Macaca mulatta: one gene and its partners. The protein of the gene in region 2 interacts with the protein of the main gene of each other region in a pairwise test. Links are inferred from orthologs where the notes say so. Each region holds a gene or a part of one and is shown on either strand. Other genes may lie near its edges.

Region 1 (5,371 bases), on a different chromosome or scaffold from region 2:
CAAGGCTGCAGTGAGCTATGATCACACCACTACACTCCAGCCTGAGCGACACAGCAAGACCGCATCTCTAAATAAATAAATACATAAATAAGATGTTATGGGCCGGGCGCGGTGGCTCACGCCTGTAATCCCAGCACTTTGGGAGGCCGAGGCGAGTGGATCACAAGGTCAGGAGATCGAGACCACGGTGAAACCCCGTCTCCACTAAAAATACAAAATATTAGACGGGCGCGGTGGCGGGCGCCAGTAGTCCCAGCTACTCAGGAGGCTGAGGCAGGAGAATGGCGTGAACCCAGGAAGCGGAGCTTGCCGTGAGCCGAGATCGCGCCACTGCACTCCAGCCTGGGCGATAGATCGAGACTCCGTCTCAAAAAAAAAAAAAAAGAAAGATGTTATAATGTCTCCTCCTCCCAGTGGGATATCATCTCTGTAAGAACGAGGGTTTGTCTTTTTCTTCACTGCTGTGTCCTCAGAGCCTAAAACTGCACCTGGCACCCAACAGTCGCTCAATCATGAAATAGCCTTTGAAACAGTCAACCACTGGCTGCAATACTGGCCGTGACCAGCAGATGGCGTGGGAGCACTTATTTCAAAACCGGCGGCGATTCTCTAAGTCCCCACGTGGGCCAGGTTTGCGACTCCCCTGTGCACTTCTCAGAAGAAAGGTCCCCTAAATACTTACGGCCAGTGAGCTCGAAGAGCACGCGGTCATTGAGGCCCAGCCGCAGCTCTGGCATTCCCGACAGAAAAACCTTGAGCTTGATGGTACCAACGATCTCGCTCAGCAGGACGCTGCCGTTGGCGTTGACCTGAGGATGGATGTGGGGGGTGGTCAGCAGGCATCCAGCTCCCTCTCCCGCAGCCAGGCCCTGGAAGGGGTGCGGGGGAGGTATGCGGGCTTACCAGCAGGTTGACAGACTCTATGACATCAATGAAGACCTCGTTCTTCTTATACTTGATACCCTCAGAGCGCCAGGACACAGCGTTAGTGACAGTGGGTGGCACCCGTGACTTGCCTGTCTCCAGCTTGTTGCTCTGCTGAGTGATGTACCTGGAGTGAGGGCGGTAGGGACAGGCAGCTGGACACAGGGACACCTCTGTGGACCTCCTCCAGTTACTTACACCCACAGTCCAGCCTGCCCCCAGGGGTCCACTCACTCCTGCAGGATCTTGCTGTCGGTGGTCTGCGGGAAGCCAAAGTCCATGAGCTCATCCAGCAACTCATAGACGATGACAAAGTTGTCCCGGATGCTCTCCTCCTCCAGCTCCTTGAAGTATTCACAGAATACCTGGGGGTCAGGGGAGAGAGACACCCACAAAAGTGTGGCTAAGGGCTGGGCACAGTAGCTCATGCCTGTAACCCCAGCACCTTGGGAAGCCAAGGCACAAGGATCACTTGAGGTGAGTTCCAGACCAGCCTGGGCAACACAGTGAGCCCCTATCTCTAACAACAACAAAAATTTTATTAGGAGGTCGAGGCCTCAGTGGGCCATGAGGATGCCACTGGAGGAGGCACTCCAGCCTGGGCAACAGAATAAGATCCTGTCTCAAAAACAAAAAAGGCCAGGCATGGTGGCTCATGCCTGTAATCCCAATAATGGGAGGCCGAGGCAGGCAGATCACTTGAGGTCAGGAGTTTGAGACCAGCCTGGCCAACATGGTGAAAGCCCGTCTCTACTAAAAATACAAAAATTAGTCAGGCATGGTGGCACCTGCCTGTAACTGCAGCAACTAGGGAGGCTGAAGCAGGAGAATTGCTTGAACCCAGGAGGTAGAGGTTACAGTGAGCTGAGATTGTGCCACTATACTCCAGCCTGGGCAACAAAGTGAGACCCTATCTCAAAAAAAGAAAAGAAAAGAAAAGAAAGTGTGCTGAATGCTTGAAAAAGTAGGCAAAAAAGGCCAGGTGTGGTGGCTTTTTTTTTGAGACTAAGTCTCACAGTGTTGCCCAGGCTGGAGTGCAAGTGGCGAGATCTCGGCTCACCACAACCTCCGCCTTCCAGGTTCAGGTGATTCTACTGCTTCAGCTTCCCCAGTAGCTGGGATTACAGGTGCACGACACCATGCCCGGCTAATTTTTGTATTTTTAGTAGAGACAGGGTTTCTCCATGTTGGCCAGGCTGGTCTCAAACTCCTGACCTCAAGTGATCCACCCGCTTCAGCCTCCAAAAGTGCTTTGATTACAGGCGTGAGCCACCGTGCCCAGCCTCTACTAAAAAAAATTTTTTTAATTAGTGGGGCATGGTGTCTCAAAAAAAAAGAAAAGAAAGAAACAAGCCAGGGATGGTGGCTTATATCTGTACTCACAGCACTTTAGGCGGCTGAGGTGGGTGGATCACTGAGGTCAGGAGTTTGAGACCAGCCTGGCCAAATACAGAAAATTAGCTGGGTGTGGTGGCACATGCCTGTAATCCCAGGTACTCAGGAGGCTGATTCAGGAGAATCCCTTGAACCCAGGAGGCTGAGGCTGAGAACCCAGAGGTTGAGGTGAGCTGAGATTGTGCCATTGCAGCCTGAGCAACAAAAGCGAAACTCTGTCTCAAAAGAAGGGAAAGGTCCAGGTGGGGTGGCTCATGCCTGTAATCCCAGCACTTTGGGAGGCTGAGGGGGGTGGATCACCTGAGGTCAGGAGTTCAAGACCAGCCTCACCGACATGGAGAAACCCTATCTCCACTAAAAATACAAAAAAATTAGCCGGGCATGGTGGTGCATGCCTGTAATCCCAGCTGCTCAGGAAGGCTGAGGCAGGAGAATCACCTGAACCTGGGAGGCAGAGGTTGTGGTGAGCAGAGATCACACCATTGTACTCTACCTTGGGTAACAAGAGCAAAACGCTATATCAAAAAAAGAAGAAGAAGAAGAAGAAGGGAAGGGAGGGGAGGGGAAGGGCTTCCAGACTTTTTTTTTTTTTTGAGATGGAGTCTCACTCTCACCCAGGCTGGAGTGCAGTGGTGTGATCTTGGCTCACTGCAACCTCTGCCCTCCAAGTTTAAGCGATTCTACTGCCTTAGCCTCCAGAGTAGCTGGGATTACAGGCAGTTGCCACCACACCCGGCTAATTTTTGTATTTTTAGTAGAGAATGGGTTTCACCATGTTGCCCAAGCTGGTCTCGAACTCATGGCCTCAAGTGATCCGCCCGCCTTGGCCTCCCAAAATGCTGGGATTACAGGCATAAGCCACTGTGCGTGGCCTTTTTTTCTTTTTTTTTTTTTTAAAGCACAGAGACAAGAAGTCACTTGCTCAAGGTCACACAGCGAGGAAGCAGGGAACCTGGGACTGGATGCCAAGTCTTCCAGCTTAGCTGAGCCGTACACTCTCTGAGACATTCTTGGTCCCTGCCCTTTAGGGAGAGATGACTTCATAAGTAGCTGATGAGATGCAGAGTGATGGGGCTTTGATGGTGGATGCACAGGGACACGAACAAGGCCCCAGGGAAGGGCTGAGTGTGGTGGCTCCCACACTTTGGGAGGCCGAGGCAGGAGGATTGCTTCAATCTAGAAGTTCTAGACCAGCCTGGGCAATATAGCAAGACCCCGTCTCTACCAGAAAAAAAAAAAAAAGAAGGCCCAGAGAGATCTGGGAAGGCTTCCTATCAGAAAAGGATTTTGAAAGAGGCTGGCAAGAGGGGTAGACAGATAGACCAGTCAGCCAATGGGACGCTAGTACCTACCTCTATTGTCTTATACAGGAAGGAGTACACCAGGGAGGCATTGGCGTTCTTCGATGTGGTGGCCACCACTGGGGGCAGCAAGGTTAAGGAAAAGGTGTCATTTATGGAGGAGTAAATGGAATACAGACCCTGAACCTCCACCCTGTCCCTTGCCACCGCCCTCATCTCTACCTGCCCCTGCCCGCTAGCCTGAGCCACAGAGATGTGCTGGGCAACGCCTGTCCTCAGCCCACCCTCTCTCGGCCTGAGGTGCCACCATCGCCAATACCCCCCACACCCACCCCCAGGGACACCACGTGGGGTGGATACAGTAGAGGTTGCTGTGTTTGATCCATAGGAAGTGGACTTCGCCGTGGCTCAGCAGCGGGGCCAGGGCGCCTTCCTCCTCCCTCTGTACCAGCAGAGGCATGAAGTGCTCAATCTTGCTCATGGCCACATCGCCCTTGTAATTGCGGCTGATCAACGGCTGAGGGTGGGAGGAAAGGACCTGGTCACCACCAGCATCCAGGAACCTACCACGCTGTGGGGGCACAGTGCCCGGTTCTGACCCTACTTCCTAGCTGAGGGGCTCGGGCAAGGCTCTGCCGCCTTGTGCCTGTTTCCCGCTCTATAAAATGGGAGTGTGATGATAACAGCTAAATGGGTCTAGGACCCTCACTAAGCACCAGGCTGTGTTTTAGTAAAGAGTAGGCGACAGCTGGACACAGTGGCTAATGCCTGTAATCCCAGCATTTTGGGAGGATGAGGCGGGTGGATCATAAGGTCAAGAGATCGAGACCATCCTGGCCAACATGGTGAAACCCCGTCTTTACTAAAAATACAAAAAATTAGTTGGATGTGGTGATGCGCACCTATAGTCCCAGCTACTCGGGAGGCTGAGGCAGGAGGGTCACTTGAACCTGGGAGGCGGAGGTTGCAGTGAGTTGAGATCGCGGCACTGCACTCCAGCCTGGCGACAGAGCAAGACTCCGTCTCAAAAGAAGAAAGAGAAAGAAAGAGAGAAAGGGAGGGAGAGAGGGAAGGAAGGCAGGCAGGCAGGCAGGCAGGAAGGCAGGCAACTAAAACAAGAGTAGATGTTTGCTAACTTATTAGTTCTTGCCACAACCCTGTGGGGTAGATGTTATCATCATCTCAATTTCACATAGGAGAAGTGAGGTTAGAAACCATGTCCGTTGGAAGCATATGGAAACTGGCGATTGATCTAAGTCATCCTGGGTCCAGAATCCCTGCTGCTGCCCCAGACTTCATTTGCACCAAAGTGGGATTATTTAAAAAAAGAAAAAGACAAAGAAAGAAAAGTTCAGGTGCAATGACTCACTCATGTAATCCCACTGCTTCGGGAGACCGAGGCAGGAGAATCGCTTGAGGCCAGGAGTTTGAGACCGGTTTTGGCAACATAGCGGGATTCCTCTACAAAAAATTTCAAGAATTAGCTGAGCATGGTGGCCTGCACCTGTGTAGTCACAGCTACTCTGGAGTCTGAGGCAGGAGGATCGATTGAACCTAGGAGGTTGAGGCTGCAGTGAGCTGTGATTATACTACTGCACTCCAGCCTGGGCAACAGAGTGAGACCCTGAAGAAAAGAAGGAAGGAAGGAAGGAAGGAAGGAAGGAAGGAAGGAAGGAAGGAAGGAGGAAGGAAGGAAGGAGGGAAGGGAGGAAGGAAGGAAGGAGGGAAGGGAGGAAGGAAGGAGGGAGGGA
Region 2 (5,371 bases):
CCCGGATGCACCCCATGGTTCTGACTGCCAAGGCTCGAATCAAAGGATTAGGATCTTCACAGTCCTGCAGAAAACAATCACCAACAACTGTTAAGTATACATGGTGGCTAAAAGTAAACAGTCCAGTTTACATAAGCTGCAAAAGAATTACCTCATTAATTTAAGCTTCCACATACATTCTACACGAGCTCCAATCTTCCACACTATTGGTACAAATCTTAGCTGCCCTATTTAAGAGTTTAGGTGAGGAAGTCATTTAACTGTTTTAAATACAAAATGAGAAACAGCTCAGTAGGATTCATTCCAGTGCCAGGCAGAGGCTTAGGGAATTGGTACCATCCCACAGTCATTAGGATCTGCCCTAAAAACAGGAAAAGCTTTTGGGCTTGTATTCCGGCACAGAAAAAAAAGAAAGACCGTGCCCTATTCCACAGTGAGTTCCCAAGCATCAAATAGAGAGAAAAGTGAGCTAGATTTCTGGGGCCTGCAGCCAAGAAAACAAAGGGGAGCACAGGAGCCAGTCTGGGCTTGAAATAAGTACCTGGAGTTACGCAGCAGAGAGGGCCCTCTGAGTTCTTGACTGACATACATTCTCTTTTACTAGCAAGCGCTTCCAAATACAGTAAATAGAATATGGAGAAAGAACACTCTTTTAAACTGCCCTACATTAAAAAATGTCTTTAAGCCCATATAAATCCATGCACAACTCTAACTTCCAAAAAATGTAAACTAAATTATTCTCAATGATATATTCCACCTGTGAACCACCAATCACAGAGAACAAACTGTTATGTTCTAACTCTACAACGTAGCTAAACACAGGAAAAGAACAAAAAGTCCATGAGAAAGAAGAAGGCATATTGCACATTTTTCAAAACATTTTAAATAGAAGCTAATTTTAGAAATGCTGTCTGATTTTTTTAAATGTACACTAAGTTCCAAACAGAAAAAACAACTATTAAAAAAACATTAGGCTGGGGACAGAGGCTCACGCCTGTAATCCCAGCACTTTGAGAGGCTAAGGTGGGTGGATCACCTGAGGTCAGGAATTCAAGACCAGCCTGGCCAATACGGTGAAACCCCATCTCTACTAAAAATACAAAATTAGCCAGGTGTGGTGGCGCACGCCTGTAATCCCAGCTACTCGGGAGGATGAGGCAGGAGAATCACTTGAGCCTGGGAGGCAGAGGTTGCGGTGAGCTGAGATCGTGCCATTGCACTCCAGCCTGGGCAACAAGAACGAAATTCTGTCACAAAAAAAATAAAAATAAATAAAAATTAATGGGAACGATCCCATTATCATTTTCTTTAAATCTATGATAGGAAAGATTTGACTGGATATTCAATAATAAGAAAATGTTTTGTCCATTTTTAAAGACATGATGATATTGTGGTTATGTTTAAAAAGAATATCTTATCTTGACAAATATAAGGACAAAACTATTTAATATATGATGCTTAGGATTTGCTTTAAAATTATCCAGCAGGAGAGAGGGTTGGAGGTCAGAAAATATGTATGAGGATTATAAACAAGAGTGGTTACGTGTCGGTAACTGTTAAAACTGCAAGATGAACATTTATGAATTTATTATACTAGTCCTTTTTCTTGAATATGTTTAAAATTTTCCATTAAAAAAAATAAATCAGGCCGGGAGTGGTGGCTCGTGTCTGTAACCCCCGCACTTTGCGAGGCCGAGGTGGGTGGATCACTTGAAGTTAAGAGTTCGAAATTAGCCTGACCAACGTGGTAAAACCCTGTCTCTACTAAAAATACAAAAATAAGCTGAGCATGGTGACGGTCACCTGTAATCCCAGCTACTTGGGAGACTGAGGCAGGAGAATCACTTGAACCTGGAAGGCAGAGGTTGCAGTGAGCCAATATCGTGCCACTGCACTCCAGCCTCAGTGACACAGTGAGACTCCGTATCAAAAGAAAAAAAAAAAATCAAATGGTGTAAGACCTATTAAATGAAACAAAAGTAGAAACTCCTACAGTCTCCACTACTGCTGACTCATAAGCATAATTTCTACAAAGATAAAACAGGTAAAGCCGCCAGTTACTGATACTACAATGATATGCCCAACCTTTGTCAGCCTTAGAAGGTAAAACAGTGAGGTTTCACCAGGTTTTCTTCTACCCATCTGTCAAGGATGCACCAAGTCCCGCTAACAGAAAGCTCAGCACATGGTTTGAATTTCCCTGGATGACACACACTGGTATACAGAATGCTAAAAACATGAACATTCCTAGTCATTGCCAACACTTCCCTACACTCCTTCCTTGTGAACAAAGGTTACTTATTTGCAATTCAGACTCTGTTCTTGAGGCCTTGGGAAAAGTTACCTTCACAAAGCTGTTCACGGCCATGATGGCCATGTCTGGCTGACTCTTGGCATAGTTCATCAAGTAGAGATACACAAGCTTCTTTAGTTCCAGATTGTCAGTCTGCATACAGTTCACTACGTCTGGAAAGAGAGAACTGAGAAGAGAGGGCAAAAGAGAAAAGGAAAGTAAGCAGGTGTTGGTGCCAACCTGTTGGACAGAATATGAATAGCCTTAACTAACAGAGTGATTGATGCAAGAACAAATGTCCCCACAGTGGTAACTGTCACAGAAATGAATTACTCAAGAAACTGGCTGGGCACGGGGGCTCACACTTATAATCTCAGCACTTTGGGAGGCCAAGGCAGGTGGATCACCTGAGGTCGGGAGTTTGAGACCAGCCTGACCAACATGGAGAAACCCCATCTCTACTAAAGATACAAAAAATTAGCCAGGCATGATGCTGCATGCCTGTAATCCCAGCTACTCAGGAAGCTGAGACAGGAGAATCGCTTGAACCTGGAAGGCAGAGGTTGTAGTGAGCTGAGATCGCGCCATTGCACGCCATCCTGGGCAACAAGAGCGAGACTCCTGCATCTCAAAAAAAAAAAAACAGAAAAGAAAAGAAAAGAAACTATAGGCCAGGCATGGTGGCTCACGTCTGTAATCTCAGCACTTTGGGAGGCTGTAAGGATCACTTGAGACCAGGTGTTCAAGGCCAGCCTGGACAACATGGCGAGATCCTGTCTCCACAATTTTTTTTTTTTTAAATCTGGGTATGGTGGTGCACACCTGCAGTCTTAGCTACTCAGGACGCTGAAGCAGGTAGATCACTTGAGCCCAGAAGGTCGAGACGGCAGTGCGCCATGATCACATAACTGCACTCCAGCCTGGATGACAGAGTGAGACCTTGTCCCTAGCCAAAAAAAAATAGGAAAAAAATTGTAGTGCTGTTCTCAACAAGGTCTCTATATAGTTTTAGAATAAGTTTTTTATTATGAAAAATGTTAATCTCAGTGCTGGGATTACATGCATAAGCCACTGTGCCCAGCTTCATCTATAATATTTTAATGTATATCTTAAGAATCCTTTTTTTATTCTTTTTGAGACAGAGTCTCACTCTGTCACATAGGCTGGAGTACAGTGGCACGATCTTTGCTTGCTTCAACCTCCGCCTCCCAGGTTCAAGCAATTCTAATTCATCAGCCTCCTGAGTAGCTGAGATTACAGGTGTGCGCCACCACGCCCAGCTAATTTTTATATTTTTAGTAGAGAGCGGTTTTCACCACGTTAGCCAGGCTAGTCCCAAACTCCTGACCTCAGGTGATCCATCCACCTCGGCCTCCCAAAGTGCTGTGATTACAGATGTGAGCCACCATGCCCAGCCAAGTGTCTTTTTTTTTTTTCCACTACCTTTATCACATCCAAAACAAAAACAAAAACAAAAACAAAAAAGCCAGGCCCAGTGGCTCACATCTTTAATCCAAGCACTTTGGGAGGCCGTGGTGGTAGGACTGCTTGAGCCTAGGAGTGTGAGATCAGCCTGGGCAACACAGTGAGACCTTGTCTGTATAAATAATTTTAAAAATTAGCCAGGCATGGTGGTGTGCGCCTGTGGTCCCAGCTACTCAGGAAGCTGAAGTGGGAGGATCACTTGAGCCTGGGATGCAGAGGCTGCAGTGAGCCATGATCATGCCACTGCACTCCAGCCTGAGGAACAGAGCAAGACCCCATCTCAAAAAATAAATAAATAAATAAATAATAACAATAATTATTTTAAAATATTTATTTTATGTACAAAAAGGTAACATGGTTTCTCTCATTGGGTGGGTGCCTTAGATAATCCATTTATGGAAGATCACTTAGTCCAACTTAATGAAATCTATATCCTTCACGTACTGATGGAAACACTGGTGGCATATAACGAGGCTGAATTTCCAGATCAGACTGTGCCCAGTTTCAGCAGACACGACAACAGCAAGAACCCTGGCTGACTTTTCGTGGGTGGCTCTAGTAGAGCTGCTGATGAATCATCTTGCTTTCAGGAGTGCAAGAGGGCAAAATGAATAATAATTCTTCATATCAATCTAGTACTGTTTCAAAGTACTTCAGTTACACTTTTTAATGTTCATATTCTTCCATTCTTGACCAGTGGGAACTTAGCTCCTGAATCCTTGTGGTATGACCTGGTATTTTCCATACTTTCCTTTATGACAAGATGCTCCATCCAGGCTCATTTTGTACATTTCTAATCCCAGACCTAGAATCAGTCATCCTCCAAGATGTCCTGATTCTCTTTTAGTGAAATTATTTTTTTTAACATTACATATTCAGACAAAAGAATATTTGAGAGTAATCAAATATAAAAGGAGTTTACACCTTTCCCAAGTTCTAGTTATTTCATGATTTACCATTCTCCTATAAGCCACAGGAAATAAATTTAAAGGAGCACCATTAGCTTGGAAGGGTTGAGCTTGTCAGATTCTAAAGTGTAAGCTGTATCTTTAAAATATAGGATAAATATAACTTTACGGGAAGTTAGCAATTAATCTTCCCCACAATGCTTTATCAAAGTACCTTATAATTTTTTAATACTGCTAAACATCTTGCTACTAGCACAGAAGAAAGGAAAAACAAATGTAGGTATATTTCCACAAGGAAAGTAAGGGGAAAAAAGGGAATGGAATAGCTGGTCACATGGTATACATCCTATACACACAAAAGGGTACAGAAGTAGAAATTATTCACAGAAAGGAAGCTGGACTCAGGTCAAAGAATCCACCATATCTCCACTGAACCAGTAACTTCTGTCCTAAAAAGCAAACTATTTGTTTCACTTGTATGCATGGTACCCACCATAGTTTCATGCACATGTAGATAATTTAGTAAATACTAAGAACCACTCTCCAAAAATGTGTTTTCTATTTCCTAGACTAGCTCATGCACAAAACAACCATAACCAGTAAATAAATGTGAAACATTAACCAATAACAAATTTAAGATCCTAAATAGTTTAATTCTAGCAATCTATACAAGGTCAAGAAGACT
Region 3 (5,371 bases), about 5.2 Mb from region 2:
GTTGGATATGAGCATTATTTGGTCCATTGATAAATTCTTCTAACTCTGCAAGGCGGTTTGTTTTAGCCAGCGCAAATATCAATTCTGTCTCCACATAGGACTCTCGAGCCTTCTTACGGGCCATCTGCAAGTACTTCACCAGTTCTTCCCAGTTTCCTAAGTATAGAAAAAGAAAAAATATATCCAAACACTAACATCCCAGTTTACCTTTCACCCAAGTAAATGAAAATTGCTCATTTCCTTTTCAAGGAAACATGGATAATGACAAATGTAAACTGTGCAATATTTCACTTCTGTATTATCAAAGACCAAATGAATAGAAGAATTCTCTTTTTCCTTAAAGTTGTAAGATTAGAGGATTATCAGGATTTTATGAGACTTCAAAAACAGAAAATTTATCTTCCCCACTTGTAAGTTTTGTGAACTTACAAATTCACAAAATACAGCCTCTTTTTATCTGGACTAAGATGGAGTACTAAAAGTTTTCACAGGAAACCATGCAGTATCCAACTCTTCTACAATTCAGAACAGACAGATATCTTAATGCTTAGCTTAATCATTTTGTGAGGTCTCAATACATAAGGTAAGAAGTCATACCACTAGTATTGGCAGCCTGAACAACTTCCATGTAGGAGGAAGGATCGTCTGCTTTGATATAAGAATCAATGGCTTCTTTCACCATTCCTTTCTGCAACTGGGCTTTTGCAAGTTGACTCCAGACCGCAGGTTCATTGCAACGTTCAGCAAACTCATATGCCCGATCCAAGTTTCCAATATGTTCAATTAAGACCTAAGTACCCAAGTTTGAAATTGGGGTTAGAGTAAAATCAATCCTACCCAGAGCAATTACATTTAAGCTGTTAGTATTTTATTGCTCTTCTATTGCCATAGGAACAAATTAGGCCCACCCTCACAGGACAGTGCATACACTGAATGAGTAGAAGACATTACATTTAGTAATTCAACTTAGGTAATCTAAAGATTTACCTGAACTGCTGAAGTATTGACATCAAATTTCCGGAAAATGGCAAATGCTTCTTCAAACAGCTCATTGCTGATGGCGATATTGGCAATATCTGGGGCATCATAATTATCCAAGCGGTTAATATACTCCATAACACGTGTACGGTCAGCTTTAATTGCGGTGAGGATAAGGAGGTTTTGCAGATTCCTTTAAGAAACAAAAGAATATTTTAAATGCAATATTTTAAGTTTATCAGACATAAAAAAAAACCACTGTGACTAATAGAGAGGTTTTTGTCTCAAGAGATAGAGTGAAGGAGGGGGGATATTAGAAGAGTGAGAATTCAGGCAACTTTCTCTGATCTTTTTGTTCCTTCCCAAAACTGATGGGCCATTATTAAAGACTGACAATAAACAGCCAATGGATCCCTCTGAAAGCATACCTGTGTTCACTGAATACAGAGTTATCAAGGACAATTTTCTCCAGCAGTTCAATCAGTTCATTAGGAAGGTCTGCAGTCATGAAAGCCTTGACAGTTACTGACACTTCTTCAGGGTCCTGAGTCTCAGACAAAGCTGTTTGTACAACCTACAGAGGATATATGGGACATAAGTATTGAGAATCAAGTTGGTTTTAAATAAGGATAAGTTGGCCTCTCATTAGAAAACTTGAAATAGGCAGAAAAGAATGAAGTAGGAAAAAGACCTTTAAATTTACACACAGAGGTCTTTCTACACAAATCTATACAATATGTGTAATTCTACTCTCTTGAAAAATTACTCTAATTATATAATTTCTATCTTTTCCCTGATTAAAACATTATCCAGACTAGCAATCATCATTATCACTTTGGTGGCTACACATAATTCAAAATTCAACTACACAGATGTGGAACTATAGTATCAGTAATTCTTCTAGTTTTGCCTATTTGCATGGCTTTCTAGATGCTGCAATGATTTCCAACCACCCCCTCTCCACATCCTTCCCCTAGGAAGCTTTGTAACTAGTTGGAATGTTCCTTAGAAATGCTTCCTAGGAAAGGAATGAAATATTAATAGCCTTCAACCTATTTGTTTCCAAAATGTTTTATTTATACTTATTTCAGGAGAATATTAAGACTCATTATTAACAACCCTTCAATTTTTAGAGCTTTTAAAATATGTTGTCTATTTTATTTAGGTATAAAAGCCCATCTCATGTGCAGTTCTATACTTCTTGTTAGTAAGATATAACAGATGCACTTGGTCTTTTGTATTTTCTCTTATCCTTATCTTTTGCTGACTTATTGTCTTGAAGTTTCCAATCAATTTAGCCACTTCTTAGGCGTTAATAGCAATCCTTACTGTTTAGTTTGTTATTTTCCTTTTAAACTATGATGAACCGAGAGAGTTTTATGTAATTAAGTCATGTCTTTTAGGATGTGTTTTCGTTTTTTTTGATACAGTCTCGCTTGTCACCCAGGCTGGAGTGCAATGGCGTGATCTCAGCTCACTGCAACCTCCGCCTCCCAGGTTCAAGCGATTTTCCTGCCTCAGCCTCCTGAGTAGCTGGGATTACAGGTGCGTGCCACCATGCCTGGCTAATTTTTATATTTTTAGTAGAGACGGGGTTTCACCACGTTGGCCAGACTGGTCTCGAACTCCCGACCTCAGGCAATCCGCCCACCTCGGCCTCCCAAAGTGCTGGGATTACAGGCGTGACTGCACGCAGCTTATTTTTCTTAATGTATGTTATATACATATTTATACTTATATAAATTTACATTAATTTATATATAACGTAATCAATTTACATTCATTATATACAAATGAATGTAAATTGAATGTATATAAATTTTAATTTCCTTCTACTTTGTATTGCTTTCTCTCCTAGTTAAATATGATCCATTTGAGTATATGATGAGGGGATTGTATCCACAGTTAAAAATGTATAATTTTTACTGACAGTCATAAATATGTTTGCCAATGTTACCTGGTCAATTAGGGGTCTCCTGTAAGGATTGCTTTCCAGCAGCACGCTGCCCCACAATTCTGGATCCTTTCGACGTACCAGGTAGCGAGAAAGACTTTTGAAGAGGGAATTCTCATTGCAAACCTAAAGAAGATATGACAGATCAATTTCAAGGTAAAAAGTAAAAGACTTTTTATAGCATTTTAGAGGTTATTTCCTATTGTTTAAACTCTGTTTATTGATAATCTTACTGATATTGGACCTACTTTTGGACTTTGATTCACGTACCAGTAATATACTGTTTTAATTATACAGGCTTTGTAATATACAATTTAACATCTGGTAGGACTAGTCCACTTTTACATTTTTCAGTGTTTTACTAGCTGTTCTTGTGTGTTTATTTTTCCATGTGTATATGCACATGTATGTACATAAGTGAGCATATGTATGTACATAAATATAACTATTTCCTAGCTCTGACCACTGAAAGATCTTAGAAGCAAATATACCTAAGCTCAGATCTTGACTTCTAGTATTTTCAGAAAATAGGAGTCTTGCTCTGTTGTCCAGGCTGGAGAGTGCAGTGTTGCGATCGTAATTCACTGCAACCTTGACCTCCTGGGCTCAAGTGATCCTCCTATCTCAGCCTTCTGGGTAGCTTCGAACCAAGTGCATGGTACCTCCCCCAGCTAATTATGTAATTTTTTGTAGAGACGGGCTCGCTATGTTGCCCAGGCTGGTTTCAACTCCTGGGCTCAAGTGATCCTCCTGCCTCAGCCTCCCAAAGTGCTGGGATTCTAGGAGTGAGCCACTCACCTGGCCCAGATCTTGATTTCTAATACCATGCCCCAGTAAAAGGTTCCCTAGAGAAATGACTGACTCCAGGGCTGCAGAAGGTACAAAATGAGCTTGGTGTATTGTGTGCCAGAAAATAAGTTAAAATGCTCAAAGAACAATGAGCCCATGACACAAAGACACAGACTGAAGATGTTCTCACCAGCTGGGACAATTTGAGCATCAAAATAAAAAGTAATGGATTGCACCCCATCGAATAAAATCCAAGAGTTCATGAATGCATGAGTGTTAACTGACAAATGTGGAGAAACTGCTAGAATTTGAAAATTTTTCATTTTGCAACCAACACATTAAGAATGTTTTAAGCAAGAATCAACATGCTGGGCCGGGCGCGGTGGCTCACGCCTGTAATCCCAGCACTTTGGGAGGCCGAGACGGGCGGATCACAAGGTCAGGAGATCGAGACCATCCTGGCTAACACGGTGAAACCCCGTCTCTACTAAAAGTACAAAAAAAACCTAGCCGGGCAAGGTGGCGGGCGCCTGTAGTCCCAGCTACTCGGGAGGCTGAGGTTGGAGAATGGCATAAACCCAGGAGGCGGAGCTTGTAGTGAGCCGAGTTCGCGCCACTGCACCCCAACCTGGGTGACAGAGCAAAGACTCCGTCTCAAAAAAAAAAAAAAAAAAGAATCAACATGCTAAATTAAGGGAGGGGGTAAGAGGATATTTGCATGGTCTTAAGTGTCTACTTACAGACTGTTTAATATCTGCAAGAGGGTAATAATAATTATATAATAAAGAAATGTTACAACTTGATAAAAACTGACAAAGGGGACAAATGAACACTGCGTGTTTCTGGATATAATACCATGAGAAAAAAACAAACCACCACTGAAGCAGTATTCTGGGTGGAAATGTATAATCTAAATCTAACCTTCAGGAACCATCAGAGGAATCAAAATGAGACACATTCTATTTTTTAAAAAGAGACTTTACATTTAAATGAAATATAGAGAATAGGCGAATCCATAGAGACAGAGTACAGTCTGGTGGTTGTCAGGGGCTGGGAGGAGGGGGTATGTGGAGGAACTGTTTAAGGAATACAGGATTTCCTTTTGAAGTGATGAAAAATTGGAACTAGATAAAGGTGATTATATAACATTGTAAATGTACTGAATGTCACTGAATTGTTCACTTTAAAATGGTTAATTTGATGTTGCTTTAAATTTCACCTATATAAAATAGTACAAATAGAAAAAGCAACTATCTGTTTACAAAAATATCAGTGTCATAAAAAACAAAAGACTGAAGAACCATTCCAGAGTACAGGAGACTAAAGAGACATGAAAACTACATGTCATATATAACCTTAGACTAGAGGGGAAAAAACTGCTACAAAGGACATCATTGGTTAATTGACACAACTAGAATAGAACAGATTTTTAAAGGTATCCTGTCAATGTCAAACTGACTGAAGCTGGTACATTTCATGTGGTTAATGAAATAGAATATCCCTATTCTTAGGCCATACACTCTGAAGGGGTATAAGGCCATGATGCATTCAACTTATTCCCACGTGGTTAAAAAATAATAGATGTGTGTAACATATACGTATCAATGGTGTGCCTGCGTGTAAGAGTGTGAGAACACAAATGGTAAGGCT

What was found.
Region 1: the proteins of AP2B1 (region 2) and AP1M2 interact in binary tests that used the Homo sapiens proteins (3 or more experiments, as listed by UniProt). The two-hybrid records come from large-scale screens. The link is inferred for Macaca mulatta from reciprocal best matches to the Homo sapiens genes AP2B1 and AP1M2.
Region 3: the proteins of AP2B1 (region 2) and CLTC interact in a two-hybrid assay, tested with the Homo sapiens proteins (2 studies listed by BioGRID, with this or other methods). The link is inferred for Macaca mulatta from reciprocal best matches to the Homo sapiens genes AP2B1 and CLTC.

What each region holds. Positions count from the first base shown.
Region 1 is NC_133424.1:11,301,605-11,306,975, forward strand, and holds part of AP1M2 (AP-1 complex subunit mu-2), read right to left. Parts: intron 4,138-5,371; coding exon 3,981-4,137; intron 3,740-3,980; coding exon 3,672-3,739; intron 1,290-3,671; coding exon 1,159-1,289; intron 1,052-1,158; coding exon 904-1,051; intron 870-903; coding exon 683-869; intron 1-682. UniProt on the Homo sapiens protein: Subunit of clathrin-associated adaptor protein complex 1 that plays a role in protein sorting in the trans-Golgi network (TGN) and endosomes.
Region 2 is NC_133421.1:45,075,405-45,080,775, reverse strand, and holds part of AP2B1 (AP-2 complex subunit beta), read right to left. Parts: intron 2,481-5,371; coding exon 2,345-2,480; intron 65-2,344; coding exon 1-64. UniProt on the Homo sapiens protein: Component of the adaptor protein complex 2 (AP-2). Adaptor protein complexes function in protein transport via transport vesicles in different membrane traffic pathways.
Region 3 is NC_133421.1:50,304,082-50,309,452, forward strand, and holds part of CLTC (clathrin heavy chain 1), read right to left. Parts: intron 3,059-5,371; coding exon 2,936-3,058; intron 1,553-2,935; coding exon 1,407-1,552; intron 1,172-1,406; coding exon 988-1,171; intron 791-987; coding exon 598-790; intron 157-597; coding exon 1-156. UniProt on the Homo sapiens protein: Clathrin is the major protein of the polyhedral coat of coated pits and vesicles. Two different adapter protein complexes link the clathrin lattice either to the plasma membrane or to the trans-Golgi network.